Linked DNA regions of Drosophila melanogaster. The protein of the gene in region 1 interacts with the protein of each later gene in a pairwise test. Each region holds a gene or a part of one and is shown on either strand. Other genes may lie near its edges.

Evidence for each region. The genes of interacting proteins can lie anywhere in the genome.
Region 2: the proteins of CG5958 (region 1) and CG14102 interact in a two-hybrid assay, tested with the Drosophila melanogaster proteins (one large-scale study listed by BioGRID).

The regions. Positions count from the first base shown.
Region 1 is NT_033779.5:7,430,026-7,435,421, reverse strand, and holds CG5958 (uncharacterized protein), read left to right. Parts: upstream 1-1,905; 5' UTR 1,906-2,016; intron 2,017-2,210; 5' UTR 2,211-2,245; coding exon 2,246-2,485; intron 2,486-3,881; coding exon 3,882-4,343; intron 4,344-4,566; coding exon 4,567-4,749; 3' UTR 4,750-4,892; downstream 4,893-5,396.
Region 2 is NT_037436.4:19,798,417-19,803,019, reverse strand, and holds CG14102 (uncharacterized protein), read left to right. Parts: upstream 1-1,728; 5' UTR 1,729-1,783; coding exon 1,784-2,291; intron 2,292-2,493; coding exon 2,494-3,200; intron 3,201-3,260; coding exon 3,261-3,371; 3' UTR 3,372-3,394; coding exon of another isoform or gene 3,395-3,636; 3' UTR 3,637-3,687; coding exon of another isoform or gene 3,688-3,742; 3' UTR 3,743-4,045; downstream 4,046-4,603. Other genes in the region: Ir76a (ionotropic receptor 76a), read right to left, coding at 1-122, 180-684, 746-854, 906-1,029, 1,092-1,354, 1,412-1,574, 3,395-3,636, 3,688-3,742; SREBP (sterol regulatory element binding protein), read right to left, coding at 4,281-4,603.

The DNA.
Region 1 (5,396 bases):
AGTACAAAAACATAATCCTAAAAAATATATATATTTATCTGCATTTTATATTCTTTACTTAATAATGCCCTGTCACTGTATAAAATTCAATATAAGCTATTTCCTTACAGCCGCAGAACTCGAGATAAGTTTGTTGATGGAATCTTTTCAATGTTTTTCGTGGGCAAATAAAAGTGTCAATCGAACCTGCACACTCCAAACAAGTATCTCAATCTTTTGAACGCATTTAAATGCTCATCAACAAAACGCAAAACAGAAGCTTAATAAACCAGCTGATGCAGCACCAATGGCAGTATCAATAACTTAGTAACAAATAAGTGAAAACAATAACAAATCGAAAACAAAGAAACAACAGCGAAAATAGTAGCGGGTTGAGCTTCGACAACAAATCGTATCAGAAGTGAAGACTTTGCCCTATGACTACACTATATGGCAGTTGTAGATACAGTGTTTTACCAAAACCACGAACTAGTCCCAGCATAAAGGTTTTCATTAAAATTGTATACATATTTTTTAACAATTTTGGTTTTGATTTAATTGATATATATTGTCATTTTAATATTATATAACAAAGAAATAAAAATATTTTCTTGTTCTCGAGCGTTCACTGTACTTGAATTTGTAAGAACACGTATGTATAAGTGGATATTACCAAAGGGGTTTTGTGTTTGGAACATGAATTTCAAAACAAAGACCCGATCACGTACCAATAATAACAATATGGAATGCAGCAACAAAAGCGGCTAACAATGATAACGGCTCGATATTCGCGATCAGCGAACCGATTCAATGGCCCGAAGGTGTGAAAAGACGAAGATCCAGCCCCCACCACCCACCACCACCTACCTACCTACCACCACCCGCCGTGGATTTGGCAATAAAAGCAATATTTCTCAGTAAAACAAACCGAAAGAGAAAGACTATCGGTGCTAGCAACGCTGCCAGTGATAAGGATTATGAGCTGTGATTAGAATGGTTGGGACTTCTTTTTCCATTAGAACATGAAACATTCGATAATAGCCCTGGAAGCAGAATATTTTTGGGGAGCTGTTATCACTCAAGAATTCCGCGTTGGACTTTAGTCGAAAGTAGTTTGCATACCCTGTAAAAAATAGTACCATTTAGGGTTAATATGGTTGATGTAGAGTCAGACATTCAACGTCTTAATAATATATCTTACAATATTTGAGTATTGATTAGTACTAAATAACTAAAAACCACCCGATATAATTTCAAGCCGGCATACAACATAAAAGGTTATATATTATATAGTTATCTTATATTCCAGCAGTTGAACTAGCTGTACTAGCTATAGGGTATCTCAAAGCAATATTATTCGCATTATCTTAATGCCTTACAGGTATTATGAGAGGCACTATAAAACAGTGCGCTGTTTCCGCTGTCAATAGGCTGGTTCAACCATTTTTTTTTTTTCGTTGCTAATTGATATTTATGCTTTTTTTGTACAAATTTGTCTTTTTTATTACGTGCCCCAGACGCTGAGTTTGCAAAGTGGAGTGTAGCAAGGGTAAGTTCGAGGTAAAGGTAATTTAAACTAAGGTTCATGACGCCGGGCGCGTGTAAACATCACGATCAATGACGAAATTACCCAAAATTTTAAACGGAGTCGAAAGTCGGATTTCAGGCCTAGAGGGTTCAATGCAGATGCCGGAGGGTTAAAGGCGTTAGGTGATTGACAGCCGGATTGGTGACCTTTTTTTCTGATTATTGTTGTTATTATATGTATTTCGCTCAGCGCCATTTGTCTAAAAGATAAGGAACGAAAATGGAAGTCGAGCCAAGACGACTGCGATCGCCTCTGCCACGGCGTGCTTTATCATCGACGTCGACGTCGAAGCTGTCGTTCGGCTGATATATAATATAGAAGTTAACTCACAAGGGTTTCCAAAGGCGAACCGAATTTCAGTTGACTCGAATCGCACGAGTCGCGAGGAAGCAAAACTAAAGAACGCTGAAAAACCCTCAATAAGTGAAAATCGTTTGACTTCGCCTTAGGTAAATACAAGTACAAAGAAAAGAAAAAAAAAAACCAACCAATTTCTAACCCAAATGATCGGGCAAGATTGTTTAAACAAATCGATCCGAAAGTGCTGGTGCCAAATTACCTCATATTAAGTTGCAATTTGCGCTGGCAATCAGTGGATTAGGAAAAACTAACACAGAACGCATTTCTCGAATCCAACACGCAGGCCCCGACACATAAAAACAAAAACCAAGCGACATAATGGCTGCCACCGATATCGCCGAGGAGGCCTTTCACTTGCGCCTGGGCTATCTGAAGCCGGAGACCGTGGAAATCGCCCGTGTGGAACTCCGCGAAACCGAAGAAGTCAAGGCGGAGGCCATCATCAAGCTACGGGAACTGCTCAAGGCCACGCCCGAGCTGAACTACAAGGATGACGACGCTTTCCTCACAGTTTTCCTGCGCGCCTGCCACTTTTATCCCGAAGGAGCTCTGGAAAAGGTGCGTACCATGAAAGCATATCGCGAGCCACTGATAATGCAATGTTAAGTCAGCAATGCAAGTGTCTCAGTTTCGTGTGCCCTTCACTTTTCATTTTAACTTCACCATTAATAAATATCATAAAATGTCATGTTTTGAATCATTTAACTTCCCTAATACATAATGCAATATAACCAAACGTTAAGTTCTTAATATATATAAATTACAAATTTAAAGTTATTTAAACATAGTCCAGAATCCAATGATGATAAAAAAAGGAACATAGTTTAAGGAATATCTAAATTGTTCCAGCAATATTCAATTCATAATACTAATAATCGCTTAACATTACACATCACTCTGAAAATCATCTGAAGCTTCAATCAAATCGCAAGCATACATAGTATATATATGTATATTATGAATTGACCGCCTTAGAAACACAATTCAATGGCTTTTTGCTTATCAACGCCGGCAACACAAGTGTCTCCGTCTATTTGTTTCAACATTTGAGGGATTATCAAATGTATAGAACTTCTCGAACACGCCTTATCGCCAGCAAACATCGGTCAACCAGAGCTATTGAAATGGGGTCTATAACCGAAGTTCAAACAAGTGCACTAGATAGTGGGGGAATAATATTGTATATGCATAAGAGCTACAAGAAAAGCATTTTTGCCCCAAGTTTAGAAAGTTGCATCAGCTTATAACCATGGCCTTATCTACATATCTCTTACATAATAATATATGATTAAGCGGTTGCATAAAAACTTGCCCAGAAAATGGCCACCTCATTTATAGTCTAGCTAAAGTAATATATGGGATATTGTAAAAGAAGCAACATACGATCTGAAATGAAACCCAACAACAGGATCATTTACAGTTCCCGTCTGCTGATAACTTATTGCTTCTGAACTCGCTGACCGGCAAAGAAAACCCTGATAAGCGTGGTCGATTTCGATCCGATTCGGATTCACTTTATGCATGTAGAGTGTTCAATGACTTTTTAGCAGAATGACTGAATCGGGTCATAAAAATCGAATGTTCGCCATTTTTAAATTTATCATCATAGGAAGCCGCATAACTTATATGGGCATTTTATAGTTCTGGCCAATGGTCAATACCTTATCAATTATGGACTCTAATCTAGCCATGTCACACCTGCCAACAGATGAAGTTACAATGACTAGTTCCGTAAGAAGTTAGCGTCATCGGTTCAAAGATTTATAGAGGCAATTCCTCTGTTTATAATGTGTACCCTATAAAAATATTAAAAATATAAAGTTTTCAATTAGCTACACGAGTAGCATAATAAGCTAAATTAAGTTGGTTGCCTAGACTAAAATTTTTTATCCTCACATAAAATACATAAATTTAAGTTTGCTAAGCTCTTGACTAATTTGAAAATGACTTTCAGATGAAAACCACAGCCAGCTTCCGCAAGGAGTACGCCTCTCTGGTCCGCGGACTCCTGGTCGAGCAGGTTAAGGAGAAATTCGTGAAGGGCAGTGTGATCAATGTGCTCAAGAACTGCGACCAGAAGGGTCGTCGTGTGCTCATCGTGAACTGTGGCAAACTCTGGGATCCCAGCGATATTACCAGCGATGAGATGTTCCGCATGCTCTACATGGTACATCTCGCCGCCCAGCTGGAGGAGGAGACCCAGGTGCGGGGCGTGGTCTGCATCATGGACTTCGAGGGACTGTCGATGAAACAGGTGAAGGCCCTGTCGCCGAGCTTCTCCAAGCGATTGCTCACATTCATCCAGGAGGCGATGCCCCTTCGCATGAAGGAGGTGCACTTCGTGAAGCAGCCGTTCATCTTCAACATGGTTTGGTCGCTCTTCAAGCCCTTCGTCAAACAAAAGCTGAACAATAGGGTAAGTAAAACGTGTACTTACTCCTACCTTGTCCTTCTGCCCTCAAAAGTAGGCTACAATTTCTCTTCATTGGAAGAATGAATCTTATCAGTAACGTAAAATACCTGATTCTTACAATTATAACCAAGTTATATAAACCATATTAATTAGACATAACTGATTTCCCCCTCCTTTTAAATGAATATTAATAACAATATATCATTGAATAATTTTCTTCCAACAGATGCACTTCCACGGCAGTGACATGAAGTCGTTGCAGAAGTTCCTCGACCCCTCCGTCCTGCCCGCCAACTACAAGGGTACTCTGCCCGCGATCGACTACGGTGGCGTCGAGTGGTTCCCCGCTCTGGAGCAGCAGGCCCAGTATGTGGAGGAGTGGAGCCAGCTTGGCCCTGCCCAGTGGTGATTGGCCCCATTTCAATACTACACTGACATTCGCATCCTACATTGACATTAGCTTAACTTTATGCTTGTAAATACTTTCAATATGTGTTTGCTTAGTTCGTAACATTTTGGCAATAAACTAGTTACATAATACTATAAACCACGGAAAAGCAATGTATATTATTTTTCGACTGGGTGTTGAGAGCATTAAATTTGAGCTGAATAGAGTTTTGTTACTCTAGCTACTGTCTAGAAAGCTTAAAAGTTGATATATGCAACACCCATCAGATAATGTTTTAAATTTGGAGGCATCGTGGTTTGAATTTAGGCTGAAACACACTATAATTAAAATAAAAGTCAATTTTATTTAAGAATTGGCTAGTTCATGTGAGTGTTTTGGGTTTATTTAACGCGTCTTTGGACTTTCAACTACTTCCATTTTCATACTCGATCATGATCAACATATGCGAACAAAGCATAAAAAACGTTTTGCATATCAAACGGAAATTTACAGCTCGGTGAGTGGGTTAATTCGAATATCATTCAAGTATTTTGTGTACTCTTCTACAATCATGGCAACGACGGTGACCATCAATAACTACATCAATAATTACACAATTTAATTTCTATATATATATATATATAGGCGACCGATGAGTTAAATCCAAT
Region 2 (4,603 bases), on another chromosome or scaffold:
TTGCCCAAATGACCAAACTGAAGGCGCTCGACGACAAATCCCATTTGCTCCGTGTGCGAGAAGGCGGATATTAAATTGGCATCGTAAACTCGGTAATGCTCCATTAAACCAAGAAGAACTGGCTGCATAAATAAGAATCTTAAAAAATGTACTAATAAATTTAATTTTGTAGGGCTTACGTCGGCCGATCGCTCGTCAATGGTGGTAATCCAGGCCTGTGAAGTCCCCGTCCAAATGAGCTTATGGTCGAAGAGACGTTGGCGAGAGTCCGCCGCTTCCTCTAAAGTGGGCAAAGTGAGGATGGCCGCCAGACCGCCACTGTACACAGTGGTCAATATAATGTCGATCATGTAGCTGGCCACTAGGACGGTTCTTAGAGCATACGAGCTGGTCACATAATTGGTGCTCTGATTTACGAAAAGTTTCAGCGTACTGATGCAACCGAAGCGCAGACTACTGATCCAGGAATTGCCTGCCGCAACCGACGAGTGTTCCCAGCGACGGGTTATACCAAGAGCTAAGCTCTCGAGCAGAAGGCAGAGCATCACGCACATCCAGAGGACAAACTGGAATGGTCGGAGCAGGAGCGTCCAGCTGATTAAACGGTTCGGAGCGGGCACCAGACAGGTTACTCCAGATCGTCCCAGAAAATGAGTCATGTCCATATACTCGTACGCCTCGTACCTAGAAAGCGATGGAATGGTTTACTTTTCAAAATGTTTGATTGATTAATCAAGAGTTTTACCACAAATACATGCCCCCTACTCCGTAATCGTTTCGTCTATCGAGGATCATTCCAACCAGACCATAGCCCGAGGCATTCAAGTAGATGTCACCCCAGTCGTATGGTTCAGCTGTGGATTGCCTTGACAATAAGCTTTAGTTGAATGTATTTAATTACCTACATGTGTCCACCTGAATGGTGCAGTTGTACAACTCGCAGAAAATGAGCATTAGTTGAATATCTGTTCCATCAATGGTTACATCCGTCGTGTTCATAAAACGATCATAATATAATGGTGGCTTTTCCTAACTCACATAACTGGAATTACTGCGATATATTCTGGTAGCGAAAACTTATTAAAACTCACATAATCCAATAGCATAAAAGGCTTGTAGTCGAAGATGCCTATGACTACCTCGCGTCCCTTGAGGTTTCGCATCTTGCTGGACATTGCACTCTGGGTTTCCCAAGTAGCTTTCGTACCCTTGGCATCGAAACGCTGGAGTATGTAAAACTCAACAGGCTCCGGGTTTTTGTTAAAGTTTCGCGGACCGACAAATCGGTTCGTTTTAATTTCAAAAGTGCTTGAGTTCAGGTATTGTGAAGTAATTACCAAGATGTTAGGTTGATCTAGCAATTCAAATGGTGAGCATGTGTAATTATTTCAATTCACTGCACTTATCCTACCTTGGAATATATAACCGGACAGATAACTATCTTTTTTGTCCTCAAACTCTTTAGTGTAAACGAACATAAAACGATTTCGCAGAGATCTCCAAATGGAGTAGATGCTGGCGTGATAAAAATATCTGGCGAATTCGGGAATCTGCTCCTGAAATGCTATGAAGGTCTTACATACAAAAGTAAAATAATTAAATTTATTAATTACAAATTTAAAAAAAAAAGGGAATAACCAAAAAGTCTTCAAACTTAAAATTTAACATCAGCTGCTCCGTTATGTTATCGATAGCAGATTTATTACGATATAAGCCGCATAAAAACGGGAAATATCGTATTATCAACTTGGAAACAGTTGAACTGCAAAATAGTTTCAGGACAATGGACAAACTGGGATTAGGCTGCCCCTTCTCCTTCCTGGTCGGAAGACCGCAGAGTATGAGTGGGGGACCCGGTTTCCTGGATCTCAACTACGACTGCTACCATCAGATATTTTCATATATAAATGTGCTGGAGGACCAGCTAAATCTGGGCCGGGCCCATCCACTATTCCAGGTTGTACTGACGGACATTTTGCGAACGCGCCACAAAAAAATCAATGTGCGGCTTCTGAAAACCATTCCGGACTGGGAGTTCCTGCTGCAGCTGTGCGGTTCCGAAGTGTCCAGGTGCGAAGTGCCCCATGGTAGCTGGGATGAGCCGTTTACCTACCCCTTTCTGGGGCTCCTGGGACGGCACTGCCCCAAACTGCGACAGGCAGTCATCATATTTATGCACGCCGTTACAGAGTCGCCGCCGAAAAGTGGGGACAGGGGCCACATCATGCAGCTCCTCCTGGAGCTACCCAGTCTAACCAATCTCACTCTGATCGATGCCAGATCTGCACAGCGTGAGTACGAAAACCACGAGCGCTTCATATTAATTGTTTCATACCACTCACACTTTTATCGTTTAACTCTGGTCAATATTTTAACTTGAAAAAGATATTGCTTAATCTAAAATTACTTTAGATTATTTTCCCTAAACTTCATTCGAGTCGGTGAATAGAATCCTTTTTATAAGCTTAATATATATCTGAATTACTATTGCAGTAGATCAATTGCGGCACTTCAGTAAACTGGAGGCCTTGGACTTGGATGGAATCGACCCAAACCTCAGCAACGCCTCCTTCCAACAAATGTTTGAAAGTATGGCTTCCCTGAAGCGACTGCTTCTCAATTTCGGACCGGATCGCAGGAGATCTCACCAGGTCCCGTTGTTGGCAGATAAGTTTCCCAACTTGGATCACCTTACTCTCGAAAACTTTGATATGAGCTTCCCGGAGTTGGGTGAATTTAAAGGTCTCCGATCCCTGCGCCTAATCTCACGTTGGACAGCAGAAGTGGACAACGACTTTTATAGGTCGGTGGCCAAAAGAGTTAGTAACCTCCAAAAGCTACAGCTCATATCCGTCCGCGTTAGAGGTGACCAAGTGCATCACATCCTGGCGATTAGGCAACTCAACGCTCTGGACTGTGATAACTGGCCAGCTCAATCGGTGTCCCAGTTGGGCCAGTTGAAAGATCTCGAGTGCCTGGCCCTGGATTGCATTGACTCACCTGCAAACCCAAGTCGCCAACTTATGTTGCTAGTACAAAATTGCTATAACCTAAATCATCTGAGATTGGGAAAACATTGGAAGATGCCTATCGAGGATGTAAATCAATTTTTGGACAATGTGGCTGATGCAGGAGCGGATCGGAAAGACCGGCTTTTGCTAACGCTCGATTTCATTAAGACACCGGATACTCGGAAAAAGGTATAATTTAATGGATACACAATTATTTGGAACAACCAAAATTTACCAAAAACCCTTCAGTTCACAGATAAGTTCAGGAATGATAAACACTTGCAAGTGAGTTTTGATGGAGCCACATGTCATCACTGTCAGCGGGATACCTACTCTAAGTGTGATACTATCTTTGACTAGTTTTACTTTAGCAAAAGACTCACCTCACAGTGCGACCTTTCGATGGCAACAGTCAGTCTAAGAGTCCAATCGTTGTAGGGGATTCCCTTCCCCTCGAACTCATCCTCCTTTATTTTGTAATCATAAACATCTTGATCGGAACGATTGGCCCATCTGTGCCAGTCCATGATTATTAATGGCATTGGATGAACCGTTTCCAGACGAAAATCAAACGCCGGGTGCCAAAAAATACAAGTGGCATGCGAGTCCGCGAAGAACTGCTGAGCTAACTATATTTTTTAAAAGGTTGTCCATGCTGAACAAAAGGACAACATACCAAAAAAACTAAGCACAGTGCTAAAGTAATATGACTCTACCAGCAAGTTTTCCATTTCACAGATTTTTTCCCTTGAAGTGTGCCTGAGGAATTTATATTATTTTCTGTGTGTATTATTATTATACATATACATTCTGTTTTTGTATATATATATATAGTGCTTGGTAGCTCACCCTGTGATGCACCCGACTAACAAAACTCCGCCGACGCAAAATGACCGACGCGAATGGAAGAATATTTCATTTTATATAAGGAAAAAGATTGCATACGCTACTAATACGTTTTCCATGAATTATGTACATATTTAACAAATTAGGAGCATGCACCGGTAACCAATAAAAGGCCTTGTAAATCTGTTAAAATATTTATTGTTATAAATACGTTTAACAAGTACGGTAAATAATAAACAAATAAAATGTCCATATTAAATAATTTTAAAATTACAATCTAAGCATAACCGGGCGTGGAAAACAGAGGAATAGCGTAATTATAAAGACCTAGGCATTTGTAATTCTTTTGAATAGCAAACGGGTATTCATTTGCTGAAAATCCACACCACGTTCGTGCCACTTATTATGTACTTCACTACTATCCTAAGCCTTCACGCTGCCAATGCCGTTGCCCAGCGACTTCATCAGCTGGTAGCACTCCTTGAGCTTTCGCTTGTCGCCCACCTTCTCCAGGGTCTTGGCCGCCTCGGCTAACATGCCAGCACGTTCACCCGGGGAGCTGAGCAGCGCAGGCGGGAGATACTTGCAGGCCACGTACATGGCCGAAGCCCGTTCCCGCTCTCCGCCCACGAAGTTCTGCTGCCGCCGATCCTTGCTGCCGCAGAAGATGGACGAGTGGGCGTTGCGTGATCGCAGACTCCTGTCCAAGAGCTGTTGCGTTGGACACGGTGAGGCTCCAGCCATCA